Linked DNA regions of Struthio camelus. The protein of the gene in region 2 binds, or shares a complex with, the protein of the main gene of each other region. Links are inferred from orthologs where the notes say so. Each region holds a gene or a part of one and is shown on either strand. Other genes may lie near its edges.

Region 1 (7,984 bases), on a different chromosome or scaffold from region 2:
TGAAATGCTCTTGTCACGGAAGCGTGTGTGAAAGGTGCACCAGATCATATGTGGTTATAAAACTTTTGTCCACAAAAGAGACACACAAGTCCATTACTAGTGAACCCTGACTGACAACTCTTCGTGGTTTTCACAGAGACTTCCGACTCCAACCCAGCCACTAGTTCAGTCTAGTGCAACAAGCTATGGCTAGGGATAAAACCACGCAGCCACTAAGCAGAGTATCTTACAACCTTTTATCCTCCTATAGAAGAGCACTCAAACATCTGAGTGCTGTTTTTCAAAATTCATAGTTCCTTTTCTGTTTTAAAATAGCACGTATGTTCTAATTTTACCCTCATTGCAAACCAACAGTGAATATTAAGGTATTCTAACAAAACTGCAGGCTTATGTATACTGTAATATACAGTAGTTACTGTGTCTTTCCAAATAAGTTATCAGGCAAAACCTCTGCTGAATCCAAAGAGGAACGCTATGTAAAGTTATTCTCATAGCTCTGCTTTGTCTATATGTCACTACCATAAGAATTACATTCTGTCTGTAACAGCACTTGGATGATCACTAGACAGTTTGCTTTTACTAAGATCAGGCTTTGGAGATGTTTTATTTTACAGCAAAATGGTTTGTTTTACTGTACCCTTTATAACTAACCAAAAGAGAAAGAATAATATTAGTGCAAGTCCATAACTCACCATAACTGAATGTTTCCTATCACCACTTGTTTTGAACTGCAGTATATTGGGATGCATCATGAGCAAATCAATTTCTTGACGCAGCTAAGCTACATTCGGTATGCGTTATCGATTCAACTGAAAAACCATGCAGCAGAAGCAGTTAAGAAAAAAACAGGAGACTGAGTCCCACAGTAAATCAGTAATGAACTTGTTTGTATGACCTACTTATTCATGACCCATGAGTGAGCTTCTGCTTTTTGCTAATAGCTTCTGCCCTACACATAACACTATAATGTAATGCTACACAAACTAACAAAGCCAAAAGAGACCACCTGTCCATCAGGTTTTCCATGTTTGAAACTAATACAAGAGGAGAACTTGTGTTGTGACCATTCCTTCTAGTCTCTCAGTTAACATCTATTTGGCCAAAGGTGGGCTAGCTTCCTCCAGCTGAGTATTAAGAGCTAAGTTTAATATCTCTTTACATTCAATTTAGCTTTAGGACTAGAGCTGTCAAACAAGCTTACATAAGATAGCAATGCTCTATTTTCTGGAGGTTTATAAAATTGGAAGTGATAAATATTCTTTTAGGTAAAACAGATTCTATCTTACACTTTTGAAAGCCTCACTTTAGACGTTTAAAACACTTCTTGCATTCACATCTAAGCACCTCCAGATAGCTGGGGTGGGGGGTGTACTTTTGATTTATCTTTTTTCCTGTAAAGACCCAGCACTACAAGAAAGTACTGAATGCAGCTGTCAGCACGCACGTGCACGCGCACACACACACACAATTAAGTATCTCTGAAGAAAACAAGATCTGTCACCCTCATCCCATGCCCTATACTTTTATGACATGTTTGAAAAGCTTTTCATGCTCTGTGGGTCCTTTTATTAACACCCTGACACCTCTCTAGACAGCAAGATTTTAGAAACAGTAGCTCTGCTCACCTGCGTTACTTCCATACTCACAATGATTTCAGACACAAATGAGGACTTTGTTGGTTCTGGCAGCTTTGTTCCTCAAAGAAAGTTGCTTATAAATGGAAAAGCCCAGCCACTGCTCCTCAAACACCTTCCCCGAAACTCTTTCAGGAGCACAAAAGACATCAACTCCAGCAGGAATTCACCTCCTGTACCCAAGGCCTCTTACAGTCCTAAACAACCCACATAAACACAAAACACCTTTTTCCTACTCTGTGCCTCCTTCACTAACCTATTTGGACAGAAGTGCTGATGCAGGGGGAAGAGGCTGTAACAATCCACAGCTGTTGTTTTGGGGCTTAGGGCAACACTGAACTCAGCCTAATGGTCAGAATAGCCACAGCCCAAGACTCATGAGAGCACAAAGCATTTCACCTCTTGTCACCACTCTCAACAGTGCTGCTCTTCATTTTGATCTGTGTGCTTTTGGTTTCCTGAAACAAAATATGTCAACGCACTACATGCCAATGCTTCTCTGGAACACAATGGATCGACTTACTCTTAGGCGAAAATTGAGGTAATTGTTCAAGGAAGCTCATGCAAGAGGTCATAGGAGATTTGGGATTATTGTAGTAGAGGCAGAAGAATAATTGGATGCAAATCTCTAAGAGAACCAGGATTCATTAGTTTGGTGCTCACAGAAGAACTTCTCTCTATGCAGCAGCTTCTCTGATTCCAGAATACATCTTTTCCTTGCTCAGCCTGACATTATTAGTTCTTTACCTTGTGATCAGTGATTTCCTGCCTAAGCAAGAGAACCCCCAACTCATGAAAGATAAAAGTTAAACATCCGTGCAAGTAGGTGGGTCAGAGCACTGCTAAAAGAGAAAGATATACAACCTACTCTGTGCAGCGCTTTCAGCTGCTCAGCTCCAAGTATAGCAGTCCACCTGGGATTACGTCTGTACATGGCTAGTATACCCATAGGAGCACGCCTATTTTCCAGAAGCTAGGAATGTAGAAATGCTGTTTGTTTGGGGTACATGGGAACATAAGGAAAAAGAATACAAGCCAGTGCGTTTTCCTAGGGACTGGTGCAGCTATCTTTCTTGCTTATATGAACCTGCTGCTATGATGGAATGAGGTACTAGAGGAGAATTTCGTTAGACAAAAGTAAGTGCTTGTGATACAGATTAAGTACAAACTCAAACTGTATTATTGTTTACTGTGTCCAAAATAGCTTTTTTAACTTTTAAGAAAACACATGCAACTCGTGCCAAGAAATCAAACGTAGAGATGCTAAGCACAAGCATGTACTAACTTTTTGGTCAGAAAAGAGCATATATTTTTATATTGGTGTTTTGATGCTGTTCATTATACTCACACCAAGCTATAATGCTCTTTCAAATTGTCAGCAAAAAATCCTAACCTGAGGATATCCTAATGAAGTGAGACAAATTTCCAACACAAGAATAGCCTGGCATTTCTGCAATGAAATATGAATCTAAGGCCAAATCCCGAGGACAAGTTTTACAGGCAAAACTTTCACAAATTCTGATGGCTGTCTGTGTGAATGAAGACATTACAGTTTGGCCTGTGACTGGTATCTTGTGTGGGCCGTCGCTTTTAGAAAAACAAACCAATCTGAACTGCATAATTCTGGGAACTTAGGAAGGTATTTTCAGCATTTGTTTTAAGCATTTTGTGTTGCAATTTTCTTAAGGATTTTTCAGGCAATTTTAAATGGACATCACCTCCAAGAAAAGGTCTAGCACTGAAGCCAGTCTTAACTTTGGCACTGTGGAAAATGAATGTAAGACTTGTCTACGACTTCTAATAAAATAGAGGATATGCTTGGTTCGAGTTCAAGAACTATCACATTCACGTGATATATAAAAAACATTATTATCTCAAAGCTACTTTGTCTTCTTCTTTACGCCTTTACACAGTACCTTCCACACATCTTTCCCTTCCTAGAAGGTTTTCAAGCATGAGCCTCTCCAGATGTCCGCCCTCTTCTGGATGTAATCAAAAGATGTTTTATTATTTCCACGTTTATAAAATGCAGTGGTCTGTTTTTCAGTAGAGGATGATCTAACTTTTTGCCTTGGGTCTCTGTGAAATGGCAAGGGTTACACTATGCTAGTATGAGAACTATGAAATTCCAGGTGTCTGCTTCATAGCTGTATTAAAAGTTCCTTTGGTTTATGTAGTCAGTCAACTGTTTATTGATTTGTTTAATGTCATGTAATTTTTCACTTTTGCATTTCTTCTCTGTATTTCTCAGGGCTTAAAACACACTGTTGCTCTGTGGTAAAGCACTTAATCCTCCTTCACAAAAATAATGGAGAAACATTTCCATCTCCCTCTATTGCTTATGGTAAGCATGTTGAGCACAAAACATTAGGGCTGGAAGGCACTTTATATAATCTTTTCCTCTGCCCCAAGTCAGGATCAACTATTTCCTTCTTACTCCTGATCAGTATTTGGCTGACCCCTGATAAAGACATCTGATAACAGGGACTGCACAATTTTTGCAGACAACCTAGTCCACTGCTTCATCAGTTAACTGTTAGTTTCTTCTTATTCTTTTTCATAGACTCATGACATGAGTAAAGGGCTCTAAGGATCACTTTCACAAGGACCCATTCATCAGGGACCCGGGGCTTTGCTTTTGTGACCTCTCATCTTTAAACACAGCACAGATATTAAGATGCAAAGCAGAAATTCTTTAGACAAAAAGTACCTTAAAGAGAATTTCAGTTCTTGACAGTGGAACCAGGAAGTTGACACTTTTTCTCAGTCATACAGCCAGTGCACGCTTTGAAACTTTCACTGCACATCTGTGCATCACTGCATGGATTAGGCGCCAAGCCAAAGGCTAGATTCCTACGAGTCCGTGCAGCTCCCACACGTTTACAGCACTAGGACCCAGAGGGAGCTTAATTCCTGTGAGTCAGTGCAGCTAGCTGAGCCTGAGAGCAGTGAATGAGGCTGGAAAGGCAGAGGGAATGTGAATGGCTCGTCTGGCTTGGGAAAGTGTCCACAGACTAGGGTGCTACGGACTACAAAACAGCTTGGACACCCCTCAGGATTTCCTCTCCCTCCAGTGTTGAGTGATAGCAGCTCTGAGGTGAGTGACCCCACAACCGTCAAAGGGTTTTCACAAAGCAAGTAATGCTGCCGTTGCATCAGTTGTGGAAGTTTTCCTGTCTTTAAAATTTGCCAGTATGTTTTTGCTGTACTGTGATTTTCGCTCTCTTGAAGGGGTGCAGATCAGATGCCTTTGAAACATGGAGTGCTGGTTGCTTAAAAGTAACATTTGTTCAGAACAGCTTGGTCTAGTAAGACTGAAAATTGCATCTATTAATGCAGTTTAAATAGCATGCACATCTGGAAGGTGTTCAGAAAGCATTTGTGGCTAAGTTCAAAGCTTGAAACGTATCTTTAGTAAAAGCAGCTTAACCTTAGAGAAATGTAGGCATTCTTACGCATCGTTTTTCATCCAGGTAAATCAGACCTTAGTTTTATCTGCACAGGTATAGCAGTTAACTTCTATATGAAAATGCTTTGCTGTCTTGGTTTTCATTATGGTGTAACACTTTCTCTCTTTTCCATGATAATTCTACTCTAGGTAAGAACTCTTTTTTTTGCTTTTCTGAAATAAATAAATAAGAATTCTGGTCAATCCAGACATAATTGGCACAAGGCAGAAACCTTCTAGCTCTAGGCAGAGCTGTAGTTCACTTTAGACTGTATATTCTGTAACTACACTTGGAAAAGCTTACCAACTCCTTGCTGCCTGCCTATTATTGACAGGATGAAACTGACAGTGTTTATTGATTTATCCTGGGTGATAGTAACACCGTTTTATCTGATACGCCAGTCAGACACAGGAACGGGGACCCCAGCAAGGGAGGAAAGGAATTTGTGTGCCAAGAACAAAAAGCGTTTGTGCTTCAATTGTTTTCTTCACTTTAAATTCTCCTTATACGCTCAAGAAGTTTTAGAAAAACAGTGAAAGTGAGCACGCTTGTCAGGCTGGTTTTTCCAAGTTGTCACAACTTGGAAGTTGCATTGTCACTGTTAGGCAGATAATTCATGAGTGCTTTCATGCATTAGTGTATTACAGTAAAGCCTCTTGGGTACTTTTTTGCTAAGCTAAAATAGAGTGTGACAATTATCTGCAAAAAGGCAGGAAGCTGACTTGCCTGTAAGTTCATACTTGTTGCAGTTCTGAGCTGTTTCAGGTACTATGAAAAACAGGCCTTTTAAAAAGCCATCTCCATGTTCAGATGGACAATCATCATCTCACATTTGTCCAAAACTCACAAAGTTACAACAGTGTCTGCACTTTCACAAAAAAAAATTACAGTGATGGGATCAAGAAAATAAAATGGAGTGTCCACATGAGCAGGATTAAGAAAGATTTGGCCCTTAAATATATTACTCGTTAGGTGTATGAATCATTTTCTAAAAAATCTCAGCAAGGTCTGGAGAGTAGCTCTTCTGGCAGATGTGCGCAGTAAAGTAATAGTCATTTCACATCCTGATCAATCCCAGCCACTCACTCTAAAGGGATCTGTCAGTCTCACAACAGGGTGGCAAAGAAAGTAAGTAAGTGTGGCTTTCTTGCTCATGGTTTTCACATCCTCTTAGCTTAGCAGTGTCCATTTTCTCACCCAAAAGCTTAAGTTATCTTCTCAGATGTCTTCATTTAATTCCAGCGGAGAATTACAGAGCACAAAGGATCATTCTAGCCCATATGCTAAGTTACTTAGAATGATTATTACTTAGAATGATTAGGCCTCCTATGTAATCACTGTAAAATGTTAATTTAAAAAAACAGGTTAGGAAAATACGTAAAATGTTGATTAAGTAATAATTAGCATTTTTAAGTGAAAATGCCCTTCTTTAATGGAATACATATAACAGCAGGAAAGATGAAACACATTTAAAAACTAGATTACTTCAGTCCATAGAATACATCCCATAATTTCACCTGTGCTCATATACAAAATGCTCCTGTAAATGCAAATTCCATCATGCACATTTCATTAATCAATTTTGTTTCTTTAAAAAATACCTTTAGAACTGGCAGGATATTGAATATATATTAATTAACATTAATTGCATTAAGTTGAAGGCATCATTTGGAAAATATATCGATAATTTTAAGGAGGTAACGTAGTTCTACTATTGTTTTAGTCATATATTTCGAGAACAAACCTTGCTCTTAAAACAAAAGAGTTAAAACAATTAATGATTTCACTCCAGTAGATTTAATATTCCAGCACCAAAAGTCTACACCAGTACTGGTGCGTTTAGAAATATTTGTCTATCCTTTAAATCTCAGTCCACTAAAAGCTAGTGAACGGCAACACCTTTCAACTCGACTACAGCAATGGTGACCTCTGCTGGCAACTGCCCTCTCGTCAGAAGTTTAAAGGGCTTGTTCAGAAAGTGACCATAAAGTAACACATTTATTAGATCAGCTGATACAGTTAGAGAAATGTAAGATACTACTTCTTCCCACAAGCCTTGCCTCATGCTAACGAGGGGTGAAAGGCACCCGTAACAATGGTACTAGAGCTGCTTTTTTTCACGGTAAGAAGAAAATTCTCCCTATCCTCAATTTGACTCCAGCGCTGTCACGGAGGCCAATGTGTTTTAAGAGCATTTCTATGACAGAAGCGTCTCCCACACTGGGACAGATGTCCTATGGGATGTGAGTGGCTTGTTTTCCTGACACAAGGCCCTTTGCGCAGCTCTGTTGAATTGATTAAATATTTGCAAGTGTTTGCGTGTGCATGCATTTATACCAAAAATTATTACGTGGCCAAACACAGCAAGGTCATTTTTGCTTTTGCCAAGAGATCATCGTATCTATTAGCGTAGGTTATGCACACTTTGAGTATTGGTGTGATTCCACTAGCGCTATTTATATAACTCAGTCAGTGAAAGTAAAGCCTCAGTCCCACATTATAAGCCCATCTTGTGCCCATGTCCTGACTATTGCATGTAGTTATGGTCATTGTCCACATCTCAAAAAAAGAATAGAGTAAAACCAGAAAAGGCACAAAAAAGAGCAACAAGGCCTGGAACAATTTCCATATTAAGAGGAACTACATAGATCAGGACTTCCCGACCTGGAAAAGAGATGGCTGAGGAGGGATATAATGTAGATACTCGTAACTGTCCTGTATAAGGTTAAGAAGAAATGGCTGTTGTCTGTCTCCCAGTTCAAAAACCAAGGAGCAGGAAATGAAACTTACAGGTGGCAGGTTCAAAGCAAACAAAATAAAGTTGTTCTTTTCTCCAGGCATCATTAAGGTATGGAATTTCTTTCCATTGGATGGGTTCAAAAAGCAATCCGACATATTAAA
Region 2 (8,544 bases):
CTTCTACAACAAGAAGAGGTAGCACCCCCCCGTCCCCAACTGCCAGGCTTGGTCACAGCCCCGGCCGCCCCCGCGGACGGAGCCACCGAGCCGAGGCTGGGGAAGGGCTGGGGAGGTGGCATTGTGCTCTCGTCCCTCCATCCCTTTCCCGGGCCGGGGCAGGAGCGGCCCCTGAGCGATGCCCACCCCTCGCAGGAGCAACGACGGTTACCCCAGCGGGACCCTCTACGCCTCTGTCAATCCCGAATACTTCAGCGCCTCGGACAGTACGTAGAGATGGGCAGATGTGCCTCCCAGGAGGGGTTCCCTGCAGGACCCTCGCAGGGGGTGAAACTGAGGCATGAGACAGGGAGGTCCCCGAGGTGCCCAGTGGGAGCTCATCCCTGAGCTAGTCCTTGCTGCATGGTCCCAGCATCCCCACACTTTGCCCTCAAAGCTCTGCACCCTTTGCGGGCGGCTTGAGGGGTTCACCCAGCCGGGACCCCCAAGCCCCTTGGGGGGGCTATGCCCGCAGTGACGGGGACGGTGATGGAGCGGTCCCCACCTCGCTCCGCAGTGTACATCCCTGACGAGTGGGAGGTGTCGCGGGAGAAGATCACCGTGATCCGGGAGCTGGGGCAGGGCTCCTTCGGGATGGTGTACGAGGGGCTGGCACAGGACATCGAGGCCGAGGGCCAGGAGACCCAGGTGGCCCTGAAGACGGTCAACGAGCTGGCCACCATGCGGGAGCGCATTGAGTTCCTCAACGAGGCCTCCGTCATGAAAGCCTTCAAGTGCCACCACGTGGTAGGTGGGCGGCCGGGACACGTGGAGGGAGGGAGGACGCCGCTGGAGGGTCTGCTGTCGTTCACCCGCTGCCCGCCCTGACCCCTGCCCAGGTCCGGCTCCTCGGCGTCGTGTCCCAGGGCCAACCGGCCTTGGTCATCATGGAGCTGATGACGCGTGGGGACTTGAAGAGCTATCTGCGCTCGCTCAGGCCTGACGCCGAGGTGAGGGGCTGCAGCAGCAGCGGGGCCCCAGAGGGCTGCAAATCGGCCATCACTCGCCCCGGATGCCCTCGAGCTCTGTTTTTTGGGGGTCCCGGCACCGCGTGCACCCAACCCCATCTCTCTCTTTCTGCGCTCGGTGCAGAACAACCCTGGGCTGCCCCCGCCCGCCCTCAAGGACATGATCCAGATGGCGGGCGAGATCGCCGACGGCATGGCCTACCTCCACGCCAACAAGTTCGTGCACCGGGACCTCGCTGCCCGCAACTGCATGGTCTCCGAGGACTTCACCGTCAAGATCGGAGGTGGGCGCCCGGCGGCGGGTGGGCACGGCCCCAGCCCCCTGCACCTCCCGGGCCTCACGCCTCCTCCTCCTCCTCCAGACTTCGGCATGACCCGGGACATCTACGAGACGGATTATTACCGCAAAGGCGGCAAAGGGCTGCTCCCCGTGCGCTGGATGTCCCCCGAGGCCCTGAAGGACGGGATCTTCAACACGCACTCGGACGTCTGGTGGGTGCTGGGGCGTGCGGGCGCTGAGCTGGGGGACCGCAGGGGCGTCCCCGGGGCTGACGGGCGGTGCCTGCCGGCAGGTCCTTCGGGGTGGTGCTCTGGGAGATCGCCACGTTGGCCGAGCAGCCCTACCAGGGCATGTCCAACGAGCAGGTCCTGCGCTTCGTCATGGACAACGGGGTCCTGGAGCGACCCGAGAACTGCCCCGACAAACTGTGAGTGGCGAGAGCAGCGCCGGCTGCGGCGCCCATCACCCTGGCCTCTGGCCTGGCTCCGGGCAGCGGAGCCGTGAGGCACATGGGAGGGACATGGGGTGACCTGGGGGGGGGGGGGGAGACCCGGGGCCCACAAACCCAACCGGGTGCCCTCTCTCCCGCAGCCACGAGCTGATGTGCCTGTGCTGGCAGCAGAACCCGCGCCAGCGCCCCTCCTTCGTCCAGCTCCTGGCGCGCATCAAGGACCACATGGCGCCCGCTTTCCGCACCCTCTCCTTCTTCTACAGCCCCGAGAACGGGCGGCGCAGCTCGGGCGAGCCCTCCGACGCCGAGACGGACCCGCTCCCCGAGGAGCACGAGCCGCCCGCCTCCCCGCCGCCCGCCCGCAAGGACCGCAGCCGTGGCTGGCTCCCGAACGGGGCACCCAGCCTCTGACCCCCTCCATCCTTGCCCCCATCCCGGCTTCCCCGGGTGCTCCGGACTTTTCCTCCCGTCCCATACGTGCTCGTCCGGCTGCCCCCCGAGACCCCCTCCGTCCATCCCGGACCGGCGGGGGGGCTGCTGGCGTTATTTATTGCTGGGAAGGGAAAGGTGGGGGGGGGGGGGACCGCGCTAGGAGCTGCACGCGCTGGAGCACCCTGGGGAAAGGCAAACCCAGAGCGTGGGAAGCGGGTGGCGAAAAGAAACCCCCAAAAGATGCCCGGCGTGGCGGGGTGCCGTCCTCCGCGCGGCCGGGAGCGGATCGCACCGGGCGCTTCCTGAAGCGGGGTGGTCGGGGCGGGAAATGGGGGTCTGCGGGGTGGGGAGCAGCATTTGGGGGGTCGGGGCCGCCCTTCCCGCGCCGCCCGCTGTCGCCTCTGCCTCTGCTCTAATGCCCCAGGCCATCTGCGAAGCAGGTCAGTAGCGTTAACCCCGTTTTACAGATGGGGAAACTGAGGCATGGGGTGGGAGATGCCTGGGACCACCCTCCCACCTCCCTGAGTGCCCCCCCCCCCAAGTCTCTGGTGCTGGGACTGGCATCCGGGGCCATGCTGGTCCGTCAAAGGGGCTTCGCTGTCTTCTCTGTGGCCGCGGGACGAGCGGAAATAAAGCGGGACGAAGCTTTGGCGGTGCTCTGGTTTGTGGGGGTCGCGGTGGGTGGCCGCGGCACCCGGCGGGGAGCCGGGTACGGGACTGCCCCGCCACCGGCCCCGGCTGCTCCCTGCATGCCCCCGGCTCAGGCACCGCGGGGGTTTCTGGGGTGAAAAAAAATGTTTCTGGGGATAAAACATCCGGGCAGTGGAAGATGGGGAGCAGCACGGCGTCGCTTGAGCCCCACGTCTGCCCCCGGCTCACCGCAGCCAGAGGGTGGCTCGCTCCTGCGCTCCAGGGACCGAGCTGCCTGCCAGAGCCCCCAGCTGAGAACGTACCAAACTCGGTGCCTGCCTGAGCCACCCCCGAGGGCGCAAGGGCCAGAGCTGACCCCGCAGCGCCCTGGAGCCCCCTGGGTCCTTGCCGCCCGCGGGCTCGGGGACGGGCAGCGGCATCAGGGCTGCTGCCGGCCCCAGCGCCACGTGTTAGCCGCCTGCCTGGTGCTGCCGAATCCCGGGGAGCCGGCCAGCTCTCTCGTTCATGCATAACCCGCTGCTCCGGGGCAGCAGGGGCAGGGGACGGTGATGGCACGTGTCCTCCCGGTCCCCGCTGGCGGAGCGGCTGCAAGGAGATGGGGGCCGGTGGGATGCAGGGCTCAGCGCCGGCGGGTGCTGGACCGCCGCAGCAGCAGCCATGCCCTGCCTCCCCCGGGGGAGGAGGGTCCCTGCCAGGGTTGTCACGAGGGGTGACAGCTGGGGACGGGGCCACTGTGCCACCGAATGTTCCCCCCCCTCCTTCACCCACCTCTCTGCACCCTGATGCTACCGGGGTCCTCTGGGATGCAGCAGCTCGGCGGTGCTTTGAGATTTTGGGCCACAGCTGCAGGCCAGAGGTGAGACCTGCTGGGGTTGGGGCTTCCTTGAGGCCTTCGTCGAGGGTCCCGGCAGGGGCTGAGCCCCCCGGTCCCTGGCACAGGGCAAGGGAGGGACGGAGAGCAGCGGTGGCCCCATGAGCCCAGCAGTGATGCTGCGTTGGGGCTCTCCTGTCCCTTAAGTGCAGCCGGCTCTGGGCTGGAGCCAAGCAGCGGAGGGTGTGTGTGTGCGTGTGTGTATGTGTGTGTGTGTGTGCGTGTGCGTGTGTGTGTGTGTGTGTGTGCGTGTGTGTGTGTGTGCGTGCACGCTCCACGCCAAGGCCCCAGGGGTTGTGCATGGCGCAGGGGATGCATGCAGGATGCCTGGCCTCCGGGTGTGTTGGACTCGGTGCTGGGCAGCAGCGGGGGGGGAGAGATGGGAGCTGCCTCTGTGGCTCGGGGGACCCGAGCGGTTGGTTTTGTGCAGGGTGCTGGGTTGGAGGGGGGTGGGTGGGGGTGCGGGGTTTGCAAGCGCAGGGTGCTGGGCTGTGGTGCAAACCGCCGGGGCGCGGAGCTTGTGCGGGTGGTGGGAGTTGCGGCGGGGGGCAGGTTTGCAAGTGCCGAGCAGCGAGTTTGCAACCGCGGGGTGCAGGTTTGCGGGTGCGGGGTGCAGATTTGCAGCTGCAGGGTGCTGCTTTGCAGGTGTGAGGTGCTGGCTTGGGGGTGCGGCGTGCAGATTTGCAGGTGCGGGGTGCTGACTTGCAGCTGCAGGGTGCTGCTTTGCAGGTGTGGGGTGCTGACTTGCAGCTGCGGGGTGCCGGCTTGCAGGCACGGGGTGCAGATTTGCATCTGTAGGGTGCCGGTTTGCAGGCGGCGGGCGGCTGCGGCCGGCCAGGAGCCGCCGGGGGAGGCCGGCGCAGGATGCGGCCGGACCAAGGGGCTTCCCGGGAAGCGAGTCACGGTGACTCACGGGCTTCCCGGGAAGCGGCTGCCCGCTGCCGCCCAGCCGCACCGGACCCCAGCACGGCGCACCCGGCCCTGGGAGGGGTGTGTGTGTGGGGGGGGGCGGCCTGCCTGTTTGCCCCCTTCCCCATCGCTTCCCCCGCCCCGGCAGAGCTGGGACCCCCGATGCCGGCGCTGCCCGTCCCCGCGGGAGGGGAGATGCTGGCTCCTCCCCGGGAGGCTGGTCCTGCGCTGCCTTTAATCCTGCGCGCACACATGCTGCGGGCGGCAAGTGCGAGGGAGGCGGCGAGCGGGGCTGCCGCGGCCCCGCGATGCTCCCGCCGCCGCCCGCCTGGCTCTGCCTGGCCGCGCTGCTGCTGGCACCGGGCAGCGCCGAGCCCTGCCCGGCGCCCTGCCGCTGCCCCGGCGCCGGCACCCTGCTCTGCCGGGAGCCCGACACCCTGGGCAGCCTGGCCGGGCTCCTGGGCGCCCGCACCTTCAGCGACGTGTGAGTGGGGAGGATGCTGCGGGGTCGGCTCCGGGCGAGGTGCGGCCCCCTCCCCTCTCGCAGCCGTGATGCTGGTGGGAGCCGAGGGTGCAGCCGGGGTGCTGGCACCTCGCCTCGAAGCTTGCGGGGTGGGATGGGGAGGGGGGAGGTCGAGTCCTAGGATCCCCCCCCTCCCCAGACCCGAAGGGGTGTTTGCTAGGCAGGGATGTCCGGCGCAGGGAGAGGGGGGCGGTGGTGGTACCCAGCTGGGGAGCGGGATGGGTTTGGGGATGCTCCCGGAACTGGTTGGGTTGGAGGGATCCCCTCTGCCTTCATCCTTCCCCCTGCACTGGGATGCGTGCTGGGGAGGGGGCAGCTTGAGCGAGGAGGCTGCTGAGGGCGATGGGTGGTTTGGGTGATAACGGGGTGCCTGGCCTCCTGGGTCCTCCTCCTCCTCCCCCTGCTGCAGCCCCGGCCTTGCCGCATCGCCCTGCGGCATGCCTCCGTGCCTCAGTTTCCCCACGGGCCAGGGCGCTGCCAGCTCTTTGTTTGCTGCTCGCGGGGTGGGGCGGATGGCGGCGGGGACGCGGTGCTCCCTGGCAGACCCCCGTCCGCGGCCGTCCCAGCCTCCCTTGTCTCCATCGTCCCCGCAGCCTCGTGCAGGGGGTCTGCATGGTTGGGGGCACCCCGCGGTGGTCGGGGCTCAGCGGGACCAGAACCCCTCGGTCACAGGTTCAAATCCCCAGCTGGCCCCCTGAGGACTTGGAGCAGCCCCTGGGGTGTGGCAGGGTGGTGAAACCCAGCAGTCGCTCCCGAAAGGGGTTTCCATCACTGCCCACCCTGGGGAAAGCAGAGGGAGACAGCACCTCAGTGTCCCCCCCCCCAAAAAAAAAAAAAAAGTCATGCCACAGGGACACAGGCGGGCGCAAGCAGAGGTGGGGACCCACCGAGGGTTTGCACCCTGGGGGTTAAAGAGGCTGAGACCCGGCAAACTCGCTCGCTGGGTGAGATCGCAGGCTGCCTGGCTGCCGAGCGGCCCCTAGGATGCCGAGGTCAGGGGCGCCCCAGTCCTGTTCCCGCGCCGGTCCGGAGGGGATGCATCACGCTGGTGCTCGGCTGGGAGGGCTCAGTACCCCCGGGATTGGGTATTGCAACCGGGGACAGAGAGCTGCTGCCCCGCCGCTGTCCTCTCCCCCCTTCCCCATCTCGTCCCTGCCTGCTGAGGGGGAAACCGAGGCCCGGGGGCCCGCGGAGCAGGGCTGCCGTTGCGGGGCCGCGGCATGGGGCGGGCGTCCCGTTCCCTCCGCCCTGCGTTTTGCGGTGGCGCGATGGCGTGGGTGCCAAGCGGGGCACGGACGGGGATGCTGGCGACCCGCTTGCTCTCCCCGGCATGCCTTTCCCAGCCGTCGCGGCTTGAGCCTCCGGCTGCCAGATCCTGCATCCCACCGAGGGGGGCCGGACCCCGGAGTGGCGGCCGGGGGGGCCTGATCCCTGCGCCGGGCTCATTTGCCGAGCAGGGTCATCGAGAACCAGAGGACGCTGACGACCTTGACCCGGGCTGACACCAGGATGCTCCGGGACCTCAGGAACCTGTGAGCATCCCCGAGCCGGGATGGGGATAGGGAGACCCCCCCCCCCGGAGTTCCCTGGTGCTTGATCCCACCGTGGGGAGGCAGAGGGTGGCTCTGGAGGGATGTTTGCCCCCCCGGAGTGGCGGGGCAGGGACATTCGGGGTCGGGATACGGATGCTCAGTCCTTCCTTGCTTCCCAGCACCATCGCCAATTCGGGGCTGCAGCACATCTCCGTGGATGCTTTCCAGGACACCCCCAGGCTGAGCCACGTGTGAGTAGCCCCCCTGTGCACCCCCCCCAACCCCGCGCTGTCCCCGGGGTGGCTCGTCCCCCCGCCGAGGGGCCGATCGATGGCTTCCAGCCTCCCCAGCGCTCGCCGGCGGCACGGCAGCAAAACTCGATCCGTGGCAGCGGCCGGGGCGGGGAGGGGGAAGCGGGCACAGGGATTTTACCGCTGAGTGGGAAACCCATCGATCGAGCCGGGAGCCCAGGCAGCACCCGGCTCCCGGCACCTTCGTGCCGCACGGGCCCCGATGCGAGAGGGGACGCCGGAGGCGGTGGGGACAGCGACTGTCCCCGGCGAAGGGGCTGCTGATGGAGGTGGGGGGGGGGGTCCGTCCTTGCAGGAACCTCTCGTCCAACGCGCTGCACAGCCTGTCCTGGAAGACCTTCCAGCATCTGCCGCTGCAGGAGCTGTGAGTCGCCGGGGAGGGGAGGGCGAGCGGGCGGCTCCGACGGCCCGCTCCAAACCTTCGTCCCCTCCCGTCCCCAGCATCCTGGCGGGAAACCCCTTCAACTGCTCCTGCGGCATCCGCTGGCTGCAGCTCTGGCAGAACGGGAGCCGCGCCGAGCTGGGCAACCAGTCGCTGGGCTGCTGGGAGGGCAGCGTCTTCGTGCCCCTGGGCAGCCAGCACCTGCGCGCCTGCGGTACGGACGGCGGCCGGGCTCGCGGGGCGGCCTTCGGGCGCAGCCGGGGCCGCGGGCGGCAGCCGGGCTCCGCTCACCGCCCCGCCGCTCGGCAGAGCCCCCGACCGTCCGCATCGAGCACGCCGACGCGGTGCTGCGGCAAGGCGACAGCGTCAACCTCACGTGCCACATCGCCGCCGAGCCGCCGGCCGCGGGGCGCTGGCTGCTCCCCGACGTGGGACCGGAGGTGCCCGTCGTCACCGAGGCAAGCTCGGCGTGCGGACGCCTCTCGGCTCGCTTCGACCTCGCTGGTGGTGTCCTGGCCGAAGGCGGGCGCCCGGCGGTGGCACCGTGCCGGCCGCCTGCTAGCTCTCCGCTCTGGTTCCCCGCAGCTCTCTGACCAGGAGATCCTCCTGGAGATCCACAACGTCTCCTCCAGCCTCAACCGCAAGGACATCACTTGCCGGGCGGAAAACGTGGCCGGGCCGGCGGAGGACAGCGTGGTCCTCAACGTCACCTGTGAGCCACCAACGTGGGGCCGGGTCGGGCAACCTCCGGCCGTTGGAGTCGGCCGGCGCCGGGCGGACGGACGGACGCCCGCCGCGGCCCGCGTCGCCCACCCAAAGCCGCTCCGTCTCGCGCAGTCCCGGCTGTGATCCTGCTGCTGCAGGAGGCCATCCCGCAACACTTCTGGTGCATCCCCTTCTCGGTGGACGGCAACCCGGCGCCCAGCGTCCGGTGGCTCTTCAACGGCACCGCCCTGGTCGAGGGACCCTACATCCACACCCGCATCGTGGAGTACGAGCACAACTCCACCGTGCTGCACGGCTGCCTCCAGCTCAACCGGCCCACGCACGTCAACAACGGCAACTACACCCTCATCGCCCGCAACGCCCTCGGCTCCGCCACCTGCACCGTCCAGGGCCGCTTCATGGAGAACCCCTTCAGCTTCAACCCCGAGGAGCCCATCCCCGGTAGGCGCCCGCCGCCTGCCTCGGTTTC

The links. Proteins that work in one complex are often made in the same cells at the same time.
Region 1: the proteins of NTRK1 (region 2) and NGF are in contact, whole or in part, in a crystal structure (PDB 1WWW), measured with the Homo sapiens proteins. The link is inferred for Struthio camelus from reciprocal best matches to the Homo sapiens genes NTRK1 and NGF. Residues at the interface, in NP_002520.2 of Homo sapiens: His291, Val294, Glu295, Met296, His297, Cys300, Pro302, Phe303, Ser304, Leu333, Glu334, His343, Gly344, Cys345, Arg347, Thr352, His353, Met379, Asp380, Pro382; in NP_001424474.1 of Homo sapiens: His125, Pro126, Ile127, Phe128, Arg130, Gly131, Glu132, Phe133, Ser134, Ser138, Ser140, Trp142, Tyr173, Phe175, Arg180.

The regions. Positions count from the first base shown.
Region 1 is NC_090965.1:10,274,639-10,282,622, reverse strand, and holds the start of NGF (beta-nerve growth factor), read left to right. Parts: upstream 1-4,439; 5' UTR 4,440-4,731; intron 4,732-7,984. UniProt on the Homo sapiens protein: Nerve growth factor is important for the development and maintenance of the sympathetic and sensory nervous systems.
Region 2 is NC_090971.1:3,478,475-3,487,018, reverse strand, and holds the start of NTRK1 (high affinity nerve growth factor receptor), read left to right. Parts: upstream 1-4,870; 5' UTR 4,871-4,909; coding exon 4,910-5,085; intron 5,086-6,581; coding exon 6,582-6,656; intron 6,657-6,835; coding exon 6,836-6,907; intron 6,908-7,262; coding exon 7,263-7,331; intron 7,332-7,408; coding exon 7,409-7,563; intron 7,564-7,658; coding exon 7,659-7,807; intron 7,808-7,934; coding exon 7,935-8,061; intron 8,062-8,186; coding exon 8,187-8,516; intron 8,517-8,544. Other genes in the region: INSRR (insulin receptor-related protein), read left to right, coding at 1-18, 196-266, 557-786, 879-989, 1,132-1,291, 1,370-1,499, 1,580-1,714, 1,879-2,149. UniProt on the Homo sapiens protein: Receptor tyrosine kinase involved in the development and the maturation of the central and peripheral nervous systems through regulation of proliferation, differentiation and survival of sympathetic and nervous neurons.